Elephas maximus indicus: one gene and its partner. The protein of the gene in region 1 interacts with the protein of each later gene in a pairwise test. Links are inferred from orthologs where the notes say so. Each region holds a gene or a part of one and is shown in the gene's direction. Other genes may lie near its edges. The genes, in order: RBBP8 and LIMS1.

The links.
Region 2: the proteins of RBBP8 (region 1) and LIMS1 interact in a two-hybrid assay, tested with the Homo sapiens proteins (2 studies listed by BioGRID and IntAct). The two-hybrid records come from large-scale screens. The link is inferred for Elephas maximus indicus from reciprocal best matches to the Homo sapiens genes RBBP8 and LIMS1.

The regions. Positions count from the first base shown.
Region 1 is NC_064829.1:28,950,305-28,959,381, forward strand, and holds the start of RBBP8 (DNA endonuclease RBBP8), read left to right. Parts: upstream 1-5,110; 5' UTR 5,111-5,316; intron 5,317-8,113; 5' UTR 8,114-8,213; coding exon 8,214-8,322; intron 8,323-9,077. UniProt on the Homo sapiens protein: Endonuclease that cooperates with the MRE11-RAD50-NBN (MRN) complex in DNA-end resection, the first step of double-strand break (DSB) repair through the homologous recombination (HR) pathway.
Region 2 is NC_064835.1:77,144,457-77,153,825, reverse strand, and holds the start of LIMS1 (LIM and senescent cell antigen-like-containing domain protein 1), read left to right. Parts: upstream 1-5,899; 5' UTR 5,900-8,925; coding exon 8,926-9,107; intron 9,108-9,369. UniProt on the Homo sapiens protein: Within the IPP (ILK-PINCH-PARVIN) complex, binds to F-actin, promoting F-actin bundling, a process required to generate force for actin cytoskeleton reorganization and subsequent dynamic cell adhesion events such as cell spreading and migration.

The DNA.
Region 1 (9,077 bases):
AATTTTTTCCATTTACATTACTGTAAATATTGTTCCCACAGCTTCCATCATGATAGTATTATATGTATGGTCGCAGGACAATGCAGTATAATACTATATATTTATTTATTGGGTGAAAGGTAAGGTAAAGTTTAGTTTTTCAAGCTTTCCAAAACAAAATCAACTTTTCTACTCTACGGTCTTAGTGATCACACTTAAGTTCTTTTTATCACCTCTACCGCAGTTAAGTTCTCGTTGTTGTTAGATGACCTTGAATCAGTTTTGACTCATAGTGAACCCATGTGACACAGTACAACTGCCCATGGGATTTTTTCAGGATTTTTTATGGAAGCAGAATGCCAGGTCTTTCTCTGGCAGAGTTGTTGGGTGGGTTCAAACCACCAACCTTTTGATTAACAGCCGAGCACTTAACCATTGTACCACCAGGGCTGAATTGCCCAATAGAGTTTCCAAGGAGTGGCTGGTGGATTTGAACTAGCAACTTCTGGTTAGCAGAAATATTTGTTTAGAATTTTGGCAGCTTCTTTTTTTTTCAGGAAGAGGTGTTGGACTTTACCAAATGCCTTTCCCAACAAAAAAAGCCCCAGCCTAGATGGCTTCACTGGAGAAATTCTACCAAACATTCAGAGAAGAGTTGTCAACAATCCCACTCAGACTATTCCAGTACATAGAAAAGGAAAGAATACTCCCTAACTCATTGTACAAAGCCAGCATAACCCTGATACCAAAGCCTGCCAAAGATACCACAAAAGCAAAAAAGAAAGAAAATTACAGACCAATATCCCTCACGAATACAGACACAAAAATTCTCAACAAAAATCTAGCCAAAAGAATACAATAGCATATCAAAAAATAATACATCATGATCAGGTGGGATTCATATCATGGATGCAAGGGTTCAACATTAGAAAATCAATCAACATAATTCGCCACATAAATAAAACAAAGGAAAAGAATCACACGTTTATATCAATTGACATAGAAAAGGCACTTGGTAAAGTCCAACACCTCTTCCTGAAAAAAAAAAAAAAAAAGGACTCTCAGTAGAATAGGAATAAAACCCACTGCCGTTGAGTCGAAATCCGACTCATAGCGACCCACAGAACAGAGTAGAACTGCCCCTTAGAGCTTCCAAGGAGCACCTGGTGGATTCGAACTGCTGATCTCTTGGTTAGCAGCCATAGCACTTAACCACTACGCCACCAGGGTTTCCAGAATAGGAGTAGAAGGATAAATTCCTCAACATAATTGGGCATAAAGGCATACATGCAAGACCAACAGCCAACAGTATTCTCAATGGACAGAGATTGAAAGCATTCTCCTTGAGGACAGGAACAAGATAACCTGCTGCCATCAAGTCAATCCTGACTCATAGCGACCCTACAGGACAGAGTAGAACTGCCCCATAGAGTAGCCAAGGAGTGCCTGGTGGATTCAAACTGCTGACCTTTTGGTTAGCAGCTGTAGCTCTTAATCACTATGCCACCAGGGTTTCCAAGTTGAGAAAGGGAAAGGGAAGCTTAGGAGAATAACACCTGTTGAGCCCAATTGTCTTTTTTAATGAGGAGGCTAGGTGGTCTGCAGAGAAAGCTATAGAGGCTTGAAGACAATAATGAAGTTTTGGAAGAGGCGAAAGGAAATAGGAGAAGGAGCTGAACAAAGACAATTTTAAGGATTAACGGATGCCTTACATTAGGTCTGACACCATGTAATTTTAGTCATATCAGTCTAACCTGCTATGTGATTTTTCCCCTCACAACACTAAGCTGCTCAGTTGTAGGAATTAAGCATAGGTTGTAGAATCAACAATTTCATTTTTAAAACAGCTTGAGTTAGATGATTTTAAAATCTACATGAATTCCAAAACTCTACAGTTTTAAGAATCTTACAGTTTTACTGCTACCAGATAATTTTTAAATCCAACATTCTAACCAGGATTTCAAATGGGTTACCCATGTGCTAAGACTTAAAATCCCAAGCACTGGGCGTGAGGTGGTTGGAGCTGGAAGCGGCCTGTCCTTTTATCACAAGCCATGATATTCATGTTCTAAGTATGCCATGATTGAAAAAGTTTGGGAAGCATTATTTTAAGTTATAAAATATGGGAATACAAGTATCACAAAGAGTGATGCTTCTCTGTGAAAAGAAGTTTCCTCAGCAGATCCTTGGAGACTGGGTCTCAAAGCTACATTTGGGGGCAAATATCTATTAGTATGTCTACCATTTCTACTGTTAAGGTGACCATTATAAAACCTCATAAAGATGATCTAAGAATTTTTAATATACCCAAAGGCTTCCACTAACATAAAATACAGGAATCCAGTGAGAGATGCTTCATTCAGTCATTTATCCAGACTACTGACTCTGTGGCAGGCACTAAGTTAAGTTTCTGGAGATAAAATGATGAAGAAGACATGGCTTTTTACTTCAAGAAACTAATGGGGAGACAAATCAAGAATTAAAACTGTGATCAGTATAAGATGGGGAGGTATACGGTACTATAAGATCATCTAACAAAAGAGATCATAAAAGCAAGATAAAAGGATGATTAATAATTAGCTAGGCAAAGGGCAAGAAGCCCTGGTGGTGCAGTGGTTAAAGCGCTCAACTGTGAACCAAAAGGTCAGCAGTTTGAAACCACCAGCAGCTTTGAAGGAGAAAGATGTGGAACTCTGCTTCTGCAGAAACTGACGACCTCGGAAACACCACGAGGTCACTATAAATAGGAATCGACTGGACGCCAGTGGGTTTGACAGCAGTGGGTTAGGCAAAGAGTGGCAATGGGTTTGGTCAAGAATTCCAGGAAGAGGAAACAGCATATAAAGGCCCTTTCGGCTGGGAGATTGTAACTCTCAAGACACTAAAAAAAAAAAAAAGCCAGAAAGGCCAGAGGGTAGAGTATGGTTGAAAATGAAGCTGGAGAGGTAGTAGAGGAGTTCAAAGAGGCTTTCTTTAAAGCCACTGAAAGGTTTTACGCAGCAGAGTGACCTTATCAGACTTACTTTCAAGATTACAGAAGCTACCGTGTAGAGAAATTTTCTCAAAGTGGGCACAATTTAATGTGGGAGGAGAAGATATTAGATTTCTATTCTTTTTTCTCATCCTTTAAAAATGTGTTACAATGTTCATAGTCTACTAGTTCAGTAGTAATAACAAATGGCATTTATTGAACACGTACCATGCATCTGACCACTATGCTGAGCAGTTAACATGTATTAACTCATTTGATCTTCATAACCGTGTGAGATTTATACTATTATTATCCTTATTTTACAGGTAGGAAAATGAGTAACTAGCCCAGGTCTCTTAATTGGGAAATACTAGAGTCTGGCTCAAAAGCCTATAACTTACTCATTAGATTATATACCATCTTTCAGCAATATATGCATACAACTTAAATATATACATGAATTAGAATTTTTTTTCTGAACATAGTGAAAAGAAAGGCTTAGGTGGCACGGTTGGTTGGGTGAATATGAAAAATAAACTAGCAGTACAGTCAGAACTGACTTGATGGCAATGGGTTTGGCTTGGTTTTTAAACTAGGTAAGAGATAATGGTATCTTGGATTATGGTGGTGATGGAGAGAAAGGGATGGATCTGGGAGATATTTGGTAATTAAAATTGACATGACTTCTGATGAACTGAAGAAGCCCTTGTAGCACAGTGTTAAAGCACTCAGTGGCTAACCTAAAGGTCAGTGGTTTGAATCCACCAGCAAAAGATGTGGCAGTCTGCTTCCGTGAAGATTTACAGCCTTGGAAACCCTACGGGGCAGTTCTACTCTGTCCTATAAGGTCACTATGAGTCGGAATCGACTCAACAGCTACAGGTTTGGTTTGGTTTGATGGATTGGAATATGGAGGTTAAGAGACAAGGCGTCAAGGATAATTCTTTTGATCTGACTTGCAAAAAGGGATTGGACAGTGGAGCTGCTGGCAGAAGCCAGAGGAACAGGTTAGGTCATTGGGCTACAACAGTTTTTCTTTACACCACAAACACACTGTTCTGTCAATGTGCTGTTACATGGCAACTGGTTATGTCTGGGTTCTTTCCATTTATAAGAAAGCTCTCCTCTTCCATTAAAAAACTTACAAAAAGTTTCATTCTGCCAATTATAACTCCTATGTTGTATTAAAAATGGCAAAGACGGCTTTTCATCCATTTTCTTTAAAAAGTTTTATGAAGTCTTATCAAATTTAGATGTGAATGATAGTTACTCTAACAGGATAATGAAGGTTCAAAACTCCTCTATAAAGATACCAACTAAGGTCCTGTTAAGTCCAAGATCAAGGAGTAAATACAATACTCATCCACCAACGTATGCAACGAATGGAAAAACTACCTTTACGCTTCGTATTTATTATTTGCTAAATACTACCTAATTTCTAAAAGTTTATAGTATTTCCTGTTCTCTTCCCAAGATTTTGAAGTATTATACAAAAATTCTGGACTTGTTTAAAAGATATTGCGATACTAGTCTACTTTATTTTCTTCAACTTCATTGGTAAAATTCCCATGATCCAAAAATGCTTCCTTTAGAAATTAAGATAAATAGGAAAACATACTATCAGTTTGAAAATCATGAACAGCTACAGGAAACGCCGGTTTAAAAAAAAAAAAATGACCTAATAGCATGCTGTCCGATAAACAATGCTGGTCACTTCTGATTCCTTCTCCTTTCAGGTTCACGAGAAACAGTCAATTTAACGTCAGCAAAGATATGCATCCTTTTGCTATACCACCCGGTCTTGTCAGGTCACATCACTGAACTGTAGGTAATAACTACAAGGCAGAACACTACTTCAGACGATCCGTGTACAATCTCACATCAGTTAATTTTAACTTTCCATGTGGAAGATGTCACGCATACACGCTCTGCCTGTTCGGCTAACTTTCGCACACACGGAGGACTTGAAGATCTCCGGACACAACGGCTTTGAGTTTTCCCCAGGGCATCTCAAACACGCTCTGGCGATGGCCGGGGCGTCCCACCACTCCCAGTCTTCGCCCTCTCCACAGCGCGGGGGTCTTGAGGGGCGCTGCCTCGCTAGGCTGCAGGAGGAAGGGGCGTGACGTGGCGGGAACTCCCGCGTGACGTCACGCGGGCTCCCGGCGGGGCGGGCCAGGCCGCCTGACCTTCCCCCTCCCCCGGAAAAGCGCGGGCTGCCCTGAGGGGCCGGTTTCCCGCCCGGCGATTGGCTGTGTGGTGGAGGAAAGGGGTGAAAGAGAAGCGAGCAGCTGTGAGTTCACAGTCTGGAGGGTGTCCGCTTCCTCGTCGGGGCTTTTGGGAATCTCCAGGCAATCTTGGAAGCTGTGAGTAGGAGAACCTCCTTCCCCCAGCCCGAAGCGCTAGATCGTGGCGCTGCTTCCGGTTGGGACTGAAGAGCGCGCGCTAAGCGACCAGGTTTCGCTCCCGGGGTGGCGGTGGCCGCAGGGTTCCCGGGCTGCGTCTGAGGAAGTAGGCTGGGGCCAGGCTGTACTAATACAATGGGCCAGAGGGAGGACGAGCTCGCTTTCCATTCTGCTCCCTTCGTCTCCCGCGCGGCTTGAAGAGCCTCCCAGCGCCGAGCCTGCCTCGCGCATGCGCCGACCCCGCCCGCGTCAGTCACGCTTTTCCCTGCCGAGCGTTTTCGTGAGGTTCAGCCGCGAAACCTGCCGGCGCTGGTGAGAGGTGATGGATGAGGGTCCTGCGACCAGGGCTTCCACATTCACTCCCCCAGCAGTTTGTCTTGGACCCTTGTGTGACCTCGACTTGTGCTGTGACTGGCAACAGATCTTTCATTTGTTTTCACTGAAGTACCTTTCGTGTCAGTTTACTTGTAAACACCTCAGCATTATAGCTCTTTTATAGATAGGACTTTTTTAAAATTTTAACTTAACCATACCATTATCATAACCAAGAAAATTAACGGCTGTTCCCTGATATTATCTAAAATTCAGTGCATGTTCCGTTTTCATTGCCTGGAGAAGTACCTGATCTAAATATTTGAAAAGCTTAATAAGAATGTATTTTTAATATTTCTGTAATGCTTTGCAGTTTACCAGGTAGCTTCACCAAAAGGTCAGCAGTTCGAATCCACTAGCAGCTATGGGGCAATCTTACTCTGTCCTGTAGGGTCTCCATGAGTCAAAATTGACTGGATGGTAGGTTTTCACACATAATCGTGCTGTCTTTAGAAATGTCATTGCTTATTTTAGTCTTCCTCAGGGACCTCAAGAAATCGATATCGAGAAACAAGTCAGTTTGGGCACTTGTTAGTAGTGGTAAGGCATTGACTAATAAACCAGGTGCGAAGTTTAAGTAGACTTGTTAATCATTTTACTTTTTTAGTGGTAGCATGGCCTGTAGTTAATGGCTTCAGTTCAAGAACACATTTAAATATTTACTACTCCATTTGCACTTAATAGCCTGTTGCTACCTTCAGTGGCTGCAGGAGTAATAATAACTTAATCATTTACCTTTACTCTGAGACAAAGTAGCTTTACCCTAATGGCCTTATTCCTGTAAATATTAAATGTTTTATATTCATAAATCTTACCTGTATCTGTATCTTGCTCACCAACTTCCCTTCTTATGAGAAAGCTATACAGCTTCTCACGTGTGCTGATACTTAAATGATCTGCCTTACTCTCTTATAATTTATGTGTCTTTATGTTTGTGAGTACTTGTTTAAAAAAAAAAAACAGAAAACCAAACCCACTGCTGTTGAGTCGATTTTGACCCATAGCGACCCCAGAAGATTTCTGTCATGGATTGAATTATGACCCCCCAAAAATGTGTGTATCAGTTGGGCTGGGCCATGATTCCTGGTATTGTATTATTTTCCTATACGTTGTAAATCCTGCGTCTGTGACGTTAATGAGGGAGGATGGGAGGCAGTTGTGTTAGTGAGGCAGGACTGAACCTACAGGATTGGATTGTGTCTTGATGCAGTCTCTTCAGATAGAAAAGAGAGAAGTAAGCAGAGAGACAGGGGACCTCATACCACCAAGAAAGCAGTGCCAGGAGCAGAGTGCATCCTTTGGACCTGGGGTCCCTGCACACAGAAGCTCCAAGTCTGGGGGAAGATTGATGAGAAGGCAGACAGAGAAGGCCTTCCCCTGGAACTGACACCCTCCATTTGAACTTTTAGTCTGCTTTACTGGGAGAAACTAAACTTATCTTTGCTAAAGCCATCCACTTGTGGTGTTTCTGTTATAGCAGCCCTACATAACTAACACAATTTCCAAGGCTGTAAATCTCAACAAAAAGCAGACTGCCACATCCTTCACCTGAGGAGCAGCTGGTGGTTTCGAATTGCTGACCTTTCAGTTAGAAGTGGATTCTTTAGCCACTGTGCCACCAGGGCTCCTGAGTACTTTTTAAGTCAGGAATATTTCAGGGTGTTTTTCTGGTTTGGGGTTTGATATGTTGTTGCACCCTACATCAATCCAAAAATAAAACAATACATTTTTTATAATGTGAAATGAATACTGACCATGGATGATTAAGAACCATTCATTAATAGAATCCTTCAATTTAACAAGAACCCTGATGGCTCAATGGGTAATCCCTCGGCTGGTAACCAAAAGGTTGGTGGTTCGAACCCACCAAGTGCTTCGTGGGAGAAAGATGTAGCAGTCTGCTTCCATAATGATTTACAGCCTTGGAATCCCTATGGGGCAGCTCTACTCTGTCCTATAGGGTCACTGTAAGTTAAATCGACCCCATGGCAAAGGTTTTTCGATTTAGCATCATTTTAGGTAATGGCTTCTTTCTAGAAGGAATAAGATAAAATTTACCCGAAAATTTAGTTTAACTAAAGACCAAATAAGGAGCCCTGGTGGCTCAACGGTTAAGCCCTAGGCTGATAACCAAAAGGTTGGCGGTTTGAACCCACCCCACAGGGCTGTTCTGTCTCGTCTGTCACATGGGGTAGCTATGAGTTGATGGCACCTAGCAACAACAAAGGCCAAATTACTGAAATCAGGGCTTTTCTCATCTTAATCATCTTCTTTCCTCACCCCCCCCACACATTTTCAGTTTCAAGTGGACGTGTGTTTCTTCTATGACTGTAAATCACATAAAAATAAATGCAAAATTTATTTGTGTTGTGATCTGTTGTTTCAGGCATTTCAGCTGTCTCCAAAGACAACTTCATGCTTACATAATGTAACAGAAAGAGTCATAAATCATTAGGCAAAGAGAAGCGTGAAGCATATTCAGCAAGATGAACATCTCTGGAAGCAGTTGTGGAAGCCCTAATTCTGCAGATATATCTAATGACTTTAAGGAACTTTGGGCAAAACTAAAGGAGTACCATGATAAAGAGGTTCAAGGTAAAAACTTTTCTCAAATACTGATTTGAGAAGTATTCATACTATATTTTTTTGAGACTTGTAGTAATAACTATAGTAATAACTAACTTTGTGCAGTAGTTTTATGTCTTTATAGAAGTGAGAAATGACTAAGTTCAAAGAGCTGATCATTGTGTGACCTTGATTACTGTAATTTTTTTGTGTTTCATTTTTACGGTTGAGTTGTTATTTTTCAGCTGTTGGCAATTACTACAGCACATAGTTCTTGCACAATTTGTAGTTACTTACTTGTGGTAATATGTATAAAAAAAAAAAGTGTAGTGGAAAAGGTATAAAAATTGGTGTCCGAAGACCTGGATTTTAGTTCTGATTTTATTCACCTACTTGCTCTGTGATCTCAGCCAAGTCACTTAACCTCTAAACTTAATTTTCTTCAGAAAAATGGGCGTTTATTCACAGGATTATTTATAGACGTACTCTACTTAAGTCATTTAACAACCCATTGGAATACTGTTTGCTGTTAAGCATTGAAATACAAAGGTGAATGACAGTTTACCTTCAAAGAGCCTGCAGTCTAACAGAGATAGAGTCATGTAAATATAATTACAGTACAATAAAATAAGAGCTAAAAGGTTTGTATAAAGTGCTTTGGGTAGAAAGAGGATTGAGCAGTTGTGCTTGGGAGGAGTATATATTGTGTTAAAATATACTCCATATAAAGAAGCTTTCTATTAAAGCTAAGCTCAAGGTTTGATACTAAGTTTTAATATGCTTTA
Region 2 (9,369 bases), on another chromosome or scaffold:
GATTCTTCACCAACACCATAATTCAAAGGCAGCAGTTCTTCAGTCTTCCTTTTTTCTTGTCCAGTTTTTGCGTGCATATGAGGTGATTAAAAAAACATCATGGTTTGGGTCAGGCACACCTTAGTCCTCAAAGTGACATCTTTGCTTTTTAACACTTTAAAAAGGTCTTTTGCAGCAATGCATTGTTTGATTTCTTGACAGCTACTTCCATGGGCATTGATTGTGGATCCAGGTAAAATGAAATCCTTGACAACTTCAGTCTTTTCTCTGTTTGTCATGATGTTGCGTATTGGTCCAGTGGTGAGGATTTTTGTTTTCTTTATGTTGAGGTATGATCCATACCGAAGGCTGTAGAAGTGCTTCACCAGAACTAGACCTATAAGTAGGCTGTCAGCACTTGTGAAAATGGTTAAGATTAACTAACTGAGTTATTGATATAACTTGTGCCCGGTATGGGCAGTTTCAGCCGCTGTTTTGTGTTACGCAGTCCTTGTGTGCGCTGAGGCAGCCGTGCAGAGATGGCACTGCCTGCTGTGACGCTGTCCCTCGGTGCACCTCTGCCCGATGGCTTTTTGAAAAGGGCGTTCTTTTCTGCCTGTGGGCTTATGCAGTAAAAGTAGGACATTTTTTCTTCAGATACAAGAGGAAGAATTTTTGCCTCGCCGTCTTTTATTAGAAGCGCTATATTTTCATTCTTGATTTCAGGAATACAAGAGTGCCTGCTCATTTTTTTCCTGAAAATTTTAAACCTGATGAGTTGTGCGTCACTCATTTTCCTGAGGAGGGAAGTGAATACACTTGATAAAATGTCACAAGGTTTAGGGTGCTTTGAATCTCTCTCCATCACCAAAAATTAATATTAAATTTTACTAAAATCTTACCCACTCACCAACTTGGTGAGTGGGTAAGATTTTAATAAAATTTAATGTGTTTTGTGTTGTAAAGATGTTCCTTATCTCCTCAAGAACATCACAAACCCCTTAATGTAACAACCAGATGCAAATAGCCTCCTGCTCACAGCTTCATTGGAATTGCTGGGCATTGGTAAGGGTATTTGGGATGGTTTGGAGGGCCTGGACTGGGGGCTCCACAGTGTATAGAGGAATAATTTAATTTGCTTTTTAAATACCTGTTAAGTGAGGAATTTTTTCACTTGGTCTATTCATTTATTTTTAACATACAGTAGCAAAAGCCAAAATGCCTCTGCCCTACTTAGCTGAGAGTGCCAATGAGCAATACCAGCACAGGCATGTAAAAAATGTGCGCTTTTCTTCCTTTTAAACTAGTTTGAGAAAATCTGTGCCTCCTCTCTCTCACTCTCTTACCCCTTGTTAATGAGTGTTTTCTTTTTGCTTGTGCAATCGAAGTAGGATACAGTTTTAACAGACAAGACAAAATGGCATATTAACTGCAACCTCACATCCTTTGCTGGCCACCTTTGTCCGTTTCCCCACTGTCTGTTGAAGGAAAACACAGTGCATTTGTCCTGGAACCTGGAAAATGGGAAGGAACTTTCCAACTCCATTATCTTTACTTGCATGTCATGCTTGTTTTGTTTTTGGTAGTCTGGGGAAATTGAGATTAAATTTTCCATTTGAGTGGGTTAGAGAATCACAATGAAAATAATTCATGTTTCATTTGGTAATTTAACCAGACTGTCTCTCAACACTTTGAATATCCCAGTATGACACAGAAGGCTTTGACTGAAGTCATTCTAGTAGTTGTTATTGCCAAGTACCTGGTTTAGTGATCTGTTAATGCAAATCTGTTTGTGGAATGGGGTAAAACATGAGTAGCATGGCCCTTTTGATTTATAAGAGTCCCGTGGTTTAGAGGCAGTTGGTCAAAATGTTCAGCTTCTCTTTTAAAACCCCATAGATGAAATATTTGGCAATGGTGCACATAATTCAATTGTTGCTTTTTTTAAAAAAATAAAAAATACTATTTTTTTTAAAGAGCTGCCTTTTGGTTTTGGCAGTTCTGCTCATGATTATATCCAGGCTTTAAGTATTTGAGCTCCTGGAAATAGCTGCAATTTTTTTGGTATGATATCTCTAAGTAGGTTACTTATCTTGGACTTGTGACTTATTATCAAAGATGGAATTTGTTTTGGCAGAAATGATGGCGTTAGCTAGACTGATGGAATCTGAAGCACTGCAGCATTCCTTGCAGACCATCAGAGTGAGCCAACGTAACGTCAGATACACCGCGTACGGCCAGACTCTGTCCCAGTAGATCAGTAACGTAACGTCAGATACACCGCGTACGGCCAGACTCTGTCCCGGTAGATCAGTAACGTAATGTCAGATACACCGCGTACGGCCAGACTCTGTCCCGGTAGATCGAGCCTTCAGTAAGTGGTAGGGCTTGGCACACAGTAGATGATCAGAAGATGTTGAGTTTATGAAATATAAATCTGTCTGCTTTGAATGGTTAGAGGGGCTGTTTGAGGTTCAGACCCATCTTCTGAAATCTTCCAAAACCCCCAATTAGCCATGGTGGTAAGGAGTGCTAATCAGATTATAGAACCTCGTGGGAGGAACCTGAAGGGAAACCGGGGCCTAAGGCAACCCTAGTTCTTCAGGCCAGAAAAGTACTTAGGTGTTTGCAGAAGCCTTCTGAGAGGCCCCACTGTTGAGACAAAACTGGCTTTTTTGACAGGAGCTTCCCACTCTGCCGCCATTGCTATTCTGACGCACCGCTGTGGTGTCAGTAGGAGTTTCAGTCCAGGGAGTTCAGATAAATAATTTTCTCAAGGTTACAGTTACAGGCTAGAGGGATTGTTTGCATTTCTTAGAGTGACATTACTAAGTGCCAGAAATGGTTTAAAAGTAACAAAACGCCTGAATCTAAAGCCTGAGCACTGGTATTTTTTTGACCTTAAATTATTGCCTATCCTCTTGGAAAAAGAGTACACATACATTTCTCTTAGCTCTGCTCTGTGGTGGCTAAATAAAACACGTGGCCGACTGAGCCTACAGTATGCTTCTGGGAGAACATGCCCCCTAACCTTTCAGACCTGGTGTCGCAGTGGTTAAGAGCTCTGCCCCTAACCAAAAGGTCAGCAGTTTGATTCCACCAGCTGCTCCTCGGAAACCCTGTGGGCCAGTTCTACTCCATCTGTAGTGTTGCTGTGAGTCAGAATCAACTCAATGGCAACGGGTTTGGTTTTTTTGGTTTGGAACCTTTCAGTGACCGCAGTGTTACTGATCCTTACTCAGGACACCGGGGGCGTACAAAAGAATCGTGTTCATTCAGCACTGGTTATGGAATTAAAAATCTGTATCATTATATGCTTGCATATTGGAAGAAACCATGTATACTGTTTCCACAGAGGTTATATACAGTCACAGAGGCTGTGACTTTTAGTCACTCGTTTATTCATTTAACAAATACCTCCAGTGGTGGGCTAGACACTTCTGGTATACCTCTTTAGGTCCGTTGTAAGCACATAGTGAGTTTCATATGTTCAGAGATGATGTAACATAATATAAATAAGTAAACAATGTGATAATGTAAAAAACAAAGACTTTTTAAGAAACTATAGACGTTCCCAGAAGAGCTGCTAAAGAAAGGGCAGCAGCCTATTTGTGCTGTCATTAGGTAGCTAAAATGTCAGAGCTTACTTAGCCAGACAACTGCAGTGGACGGACAGAGCTCTCGTGATTTGCCTTGATCCGCATTTTAGTTCCTTTGTCGTTCCAGGGTAAGCAGTATGTGTGAGGCACAGAGAATCTTTCTGCTTGCTTTATCTACCTTGACAGTAAATGGGTTAGGGTCCTTTGCTCTTAGGGAGAGGTTAATGGGAAGGAGATGTATAATACAAGATCTGGCTTTTTCTGCCCCGTCTTTTCTTCCTGCAGAGCCTCATTCTCTCCTCTCACTCCTGCTTCCCAGTTAACATGTCTCTTGATGATAAATGAAAACGAAAGGAGGAAAGAATAAGATCTGGTAAAATTGTAAGCTGAGAAACAGAGCCACACATCTGTCTTACACCCACATAAATGCTGTTCTCGTTGATAAAACTGACTGATTAAACAGTTTTAAGATGTTTTCGTAGTATATGATAGCTTTGATCAGAAAGCTCATTCATATTAAGGTGACGTCTGTTGAAGAGTTCTATTTAAAGTATCTGTGTGCCATGTATTCTCATTAACATAATCCCAGCTCCAAGTAGAGGAAACCAGAAAAAAAGGGAGGTCTCCTGCTTGCTTCCTCTTGCACATGGTGTTCTCTAAGTAGCATAACTTGAAGAGGCAAGAGAATTATTACTAAATTGCCAGCACTGATGTGATTTAGCGGAAGGACATTATAGAACTATCTTGGTTGAAGATGTGGAGCAGTTTAGTGGCTGATGGGGGTTAGGATTTTATTCCTGTTCAAGCCACGGTCCTCTTCTGATGGCTTTCAACTAGTAAGAACCGTGTGCTTGGCAGACTCAGAACACAAAAACAAAATACAAACTAAAAATAATTTTGCTTTATTTTTAACTTAATGTCTTGTGATCAAGAATCAAAGAAAAAAAAATTTTAGTAACCTCTTTAGTTTCATCAAAGGGGCAGTTAAGATTAGTAGAATACACACACATACATTCATTTTACACCTCTGTAATATTTGAAATTCTTCCTAATACATGTGTTACTTTTCTTCCCCTTCCTGTCAATAAGGATTATCTGTACTTATTTGTGTGTGTGTATATGCACACAAAAGACATACATACCTAGTAAAAATTGGGATCACACATCTATTAGAACAGCTAAAATAAAAATAATGACAATACCAAATGTTGATGACTGTGTGGAGAAACTAGATCTCTCCAGTATTGCTGATGGGAATGTAAAATGATACAGCCACTCTGGAAGATAGTTCAGTTTTTTAAAAAAACTAAATATAAATTTAGCATACAACCCAACAGTTAAACACTCCCAGGCATTTATCCCAGAAAAATGAAAACACATTCATGCAGAAACTTGTACACAAAAGATGTTCATAGCAGCTTTATGCCCAGTAGCCAAAACTGGAAACTGCTGGTACCTAAATGTCCTTCTATGGGTGAATGGTTAACTAACTATGGTACATCTATACTGTAGAATACTACTGAGCAATAAAAAAAAAAAAAAAAAAGGGTGCAAAGTGTTGATACACACAACTTAGATGCACCTCAAGGAAGCTCATGCTAAGCAAAAAAAGCCCATCTTAAAAGGTCACGTTGTGTAATTCCACTTATATAACATTCTGTAAATGACGAAATCATATAGATGGAAAACAGATAAGTGGTTGCCGGAGGTTAGGGATGAGGGAACAGCAGTGTGCATGATGTGACTATCAAGGTATAAATCGTTCTGTATCTTGGTTGTGGTCGTGATTACAGGACTGTACACATGGGATAAAATGACCTAGAACTATACACACACGTTGTACTGATGTCAGATTCCTGGTTTTGATGTTGTACCATGATTACGTAAGATGTAGTCCTTGGGGGAAATTGAGAGAAGAGCACATGGGACCTCTCTGTGCTATCTTTGCAACTTCCTATGACTATAATTATTTTGAAACAAAAAGTTAAAAATATTTGCAGACCTTTTGCATTATTTTTAGTTCCTTGGCACATGAGGGATTTCATTGAAGAGTTATATGTTCATGAACCATTGACTTTTTTCATAATTTTACTTTCTGTTTCATAAAAATTAGACTACTTGTTATGAAGTAAGATAATTTTTTTTTTGAACTGCTGACTCAAAGTGCATGGCAGACTTGTACAGCTAATTTGCTCTTTTATTATTTCCCCTAGCTAGATTAAATAAATGGATTATTACTCCCCCCCACCCCCCCACCCCCCCACTTTAAGGAGCCCTGGTGATGCAGTGATTAAGCCCTCAGCTGCTAACTGAAAGGCTCTGCACAAGAAAGACCTGGAGATCTGTTCCCGTAAAGGTTACAGCCGAGGAAAACCCTATGTGGCAGTTCTACTCTGTCATACAGTGTTGCTGGGAGTCAGAAACCACACCAAGCACACAATAGCAGCAACCCCCACTTTCCTCACTCAGCAACCACTGAGTGCCTGCTAAGTGCTAGACTCTGTTCAAGGGGCTATAGATCCAGACGTGAACAAGACAAATGTCCTGCCCTTATGGAGCTTACATTTTTGGTATGTGAAGTGAGGCTGAAAGAAGGCAAAGAGTTTGTCCCCATCTGCCCTGGTGTTCTGTTTGAACTACAGGGAAAGAGAAGTCAGCCGGTGACTGCTTCAGTGTTGCACCTCTAGGCTGATGTCTCCAGGTAGCAGTAGCTCAGTGTGGATGGAGTGTTTTGGATCTGACAGTAGGATAACAGGGTTTGGAATCACTGGAGCTAGTATAGAATAGGAAGTGTGTAGAATATTATAAGGAAGACAAACAGACAGCCTAATAGCTTCAGGACTGAGGTGTAGTCCTCTATATCAGTTGCTGGAAGCATCAGCATAGGATGAGTTTCACAAGGAGGTAAAAAACAAAACAAAACATCGGACTTGGAACCTTCCGCTTACTAGCTGGGTGACTTTGAGGACGTTACTTAGCCTCTCTGAGAAGATAATGGGAGTCTTATTTTTTATGCAGGATGAATGAACTCTGTATGAAAGTTCATTGTAAACTGAAAAGTTGGAAAGATTATTGTGGAGAGCACAGTGGTGGTGGGGCGCCTTACCTTTTTTACCATTAAATCATTGTCTAGAATCTTCTCCCTGGAGAGGACAAGTCCCCATGTTCCTGGAACTGGCCCCAGTACACGCTAGAATGGATAATCAAAGATAATGGAAATAAAAATTGATTCTGAGTTTTGAAGAGAGGAGCATCTTAGGTGAAATAGAAATGTAAATAGAAGATGATTAGGTTAACTGTGAAGGGAAGTATCTTGGCAAAACCCGTGTAGTACCCCACCCTCTACCATGTTACCCCTAGTTCTGTGCATTATGTTTCTGGTCTGAGAGTCAAGGTGTTTATGTGTGTATCTGTGTCTGTCTGTGTATCTGTCTCTGTCTGTCTCTCTCTTTCCTCCCCTGACTCCTCTCTCTTATCCACATGGTCATTGTAAAAACAAAAATTGGGAAATGTAGGTAAGTGAAAGGAGAAAATAAAAGCCTGTTTAAAAATGGTGATTCCCTCACTCCATCATCCTTAGGCTTGTCATGGGCAGGCTCTGAGCACCCAGCCTTTGAGTTCCTGACCAGTCCTCTGAGATCTTTAGGGTTCAAAGTAGGTAGCTTTAGTCTTATTTTCTGCTTCTAGTCACATTTTGTCCCACTCCCTAACCTTTTCTAGTCAACCTGTTTGCTCCCTAGTAATTATTTTTAATGATTTTCCCACGAGAGGATTAAAAACATAGACTCAGAATCAGACTACCTTGGCTTTAATCTTGGCTTTCTGGGGGTTGTTTAACACCTCGGGCCTCAGATATGAGCCCTGGTGGCACACTGGTTAAAGTGCTCAGCTGCTAACCGACTGGTGGTCCGCTCAAACCCACCAGCCACTCCACCAGAGAAAGATTCCAGCTTTGGAAACCTTATGGGGGAGTCTTGCTCTGTCCTGTAGGGTTGCTGTGAGTCAGAATTGATTCGAAAGCAGTGGGTTTGGTTTTGGGTTTTGGTGCCTCAGTTTCCTCATCTGCAAATAAAACTTCCTTCAAAGGAATGTGTGGTAAAGATTAAATGATGAGTGCTTATTGAACAGTGAGCACTTATTAACTCCCAAGTATTTATAATTATTTCTAGAGAGTCTCAGCTGCATTTTCCCGTTTGCTGCTGGTTTCATGGCTTTCCTGTGTCTATAGTGACCTGCTCTGCTGATCGTTGTTCCTGTTGCCTGTTGCTCTAGATTTTCTTTTACAGACTCCCCTTGGTACCTTGATTTTGCTGGGTTGGCGCCTTGGTGCTGAGGGGACTAGGGCTTTAGAAAGATTCTGAACCCACTTGTTGCCCGTGACACACATCATCATCATCACTGCTAATCCTAATAATTCTGTAAGATGTCCCAAACCAAACCACTGCTGTCCAGTCGGTTCTGACTCACAGCAACCCTGTGGTGTGGAATGACTATAGCAAAAACACCATAACATTCTTTAATGAATAGTACACTTAATGACATCCTTAGTTATGATAAAGACCCAGAACTTTGGCTCACCTGAGTTACAGTATTAGCTGGAAATCAGTAGAAAAAAATGTTATAACTGAATTCCACCTCTTTTCTGTTTCCACTTGAGTCCATTCATTCCGCCACATTACTGAGCTCTCACTGTGCACCAGGAGTACTGGGATAAATAGAAGTGAAAACAGCCCTTAATTTCAGGGACTCACTGCCTAGTTGGGGGGAAGCCGATAAAAAGGCACCTGTGGCAAGTATGCCCTGAAATTATGGTCAGAGAAGCTCGGTTTCCCCTGCCCTTCAGAGTGTACCAGCGCCATGAGCATCACCGGGGGGCTTATTAGAAATGCAGGATTTCTGGGGAATGTTTACAAGCTCTCCAGCAGATTCTTATGCCCACCAAAGTTGAGAAGCACAGTGTTAGTCTTGTTTAAGCCTGATAACAAATACCCAGGACATGTGGACATTTCTTTCTCTTGAAGTCCTATGGAACAGGCCTCTATTGCTGTGCTGTAGTGTTTACGGGCACAGTCCGCCGCGGAGGCTGTGTTACTGCTTTGTGGAATGTTTTCCTGAGCTTCCAGAAAGTCTCAGTAAATCAGGACCTTCATGCTGGCTGACGGCCTTGCTGCCGGAGCTCTTAACTTGAAGCTCTAGTAGAGACCCTGGCAAGCCTGGCGGGCTGACGTACGTGGGAATAGTGGGAGTGACCCCTGGCTGGGAAGTGGGGGAGTCCTAGATATTGTTTCTCCTGCTTCTGTGCCCTGCCGCTCTTTTCCCTGGGCTCAGTGCTCTCAAGCCCTCCAGGATGGCGCTCCCGGGCAGAGTACGTCCCTGTGCTATCCCAGAGAATGAAGAAATCCCCCAGACTGTGCTTAACAACGCCCACGAGGCTAATGGGAACGAAGACGAGAGGGCTGTGTCCAAACTGCAGCGCAGGCACAGTGACGTAAAAGTCTACAAGGAGTTTTGTGACTTTTATGCGAAATTGTAAGTGTCTCCTCTCGGGGAGAACTGCTCTTCCAGGTTCTCAGTTCACTAGCCATTTTGACATGGCTGATACTGTTTTATTTACTTTACTTTCAGTGATAGTTTTTCTTTCTGCGAGGCAGCTAGATTGCCTTGTCATGTAAAAAAACTTCCACTAGATGAAATGCGGATGTGACAGAAAATGCCACCTTTAAAGTAAGAGTAATAAAGTCTTTGTCTTCAGTAGGTCCCCAATAATAGTACGGATATTTTCATTAGGTAG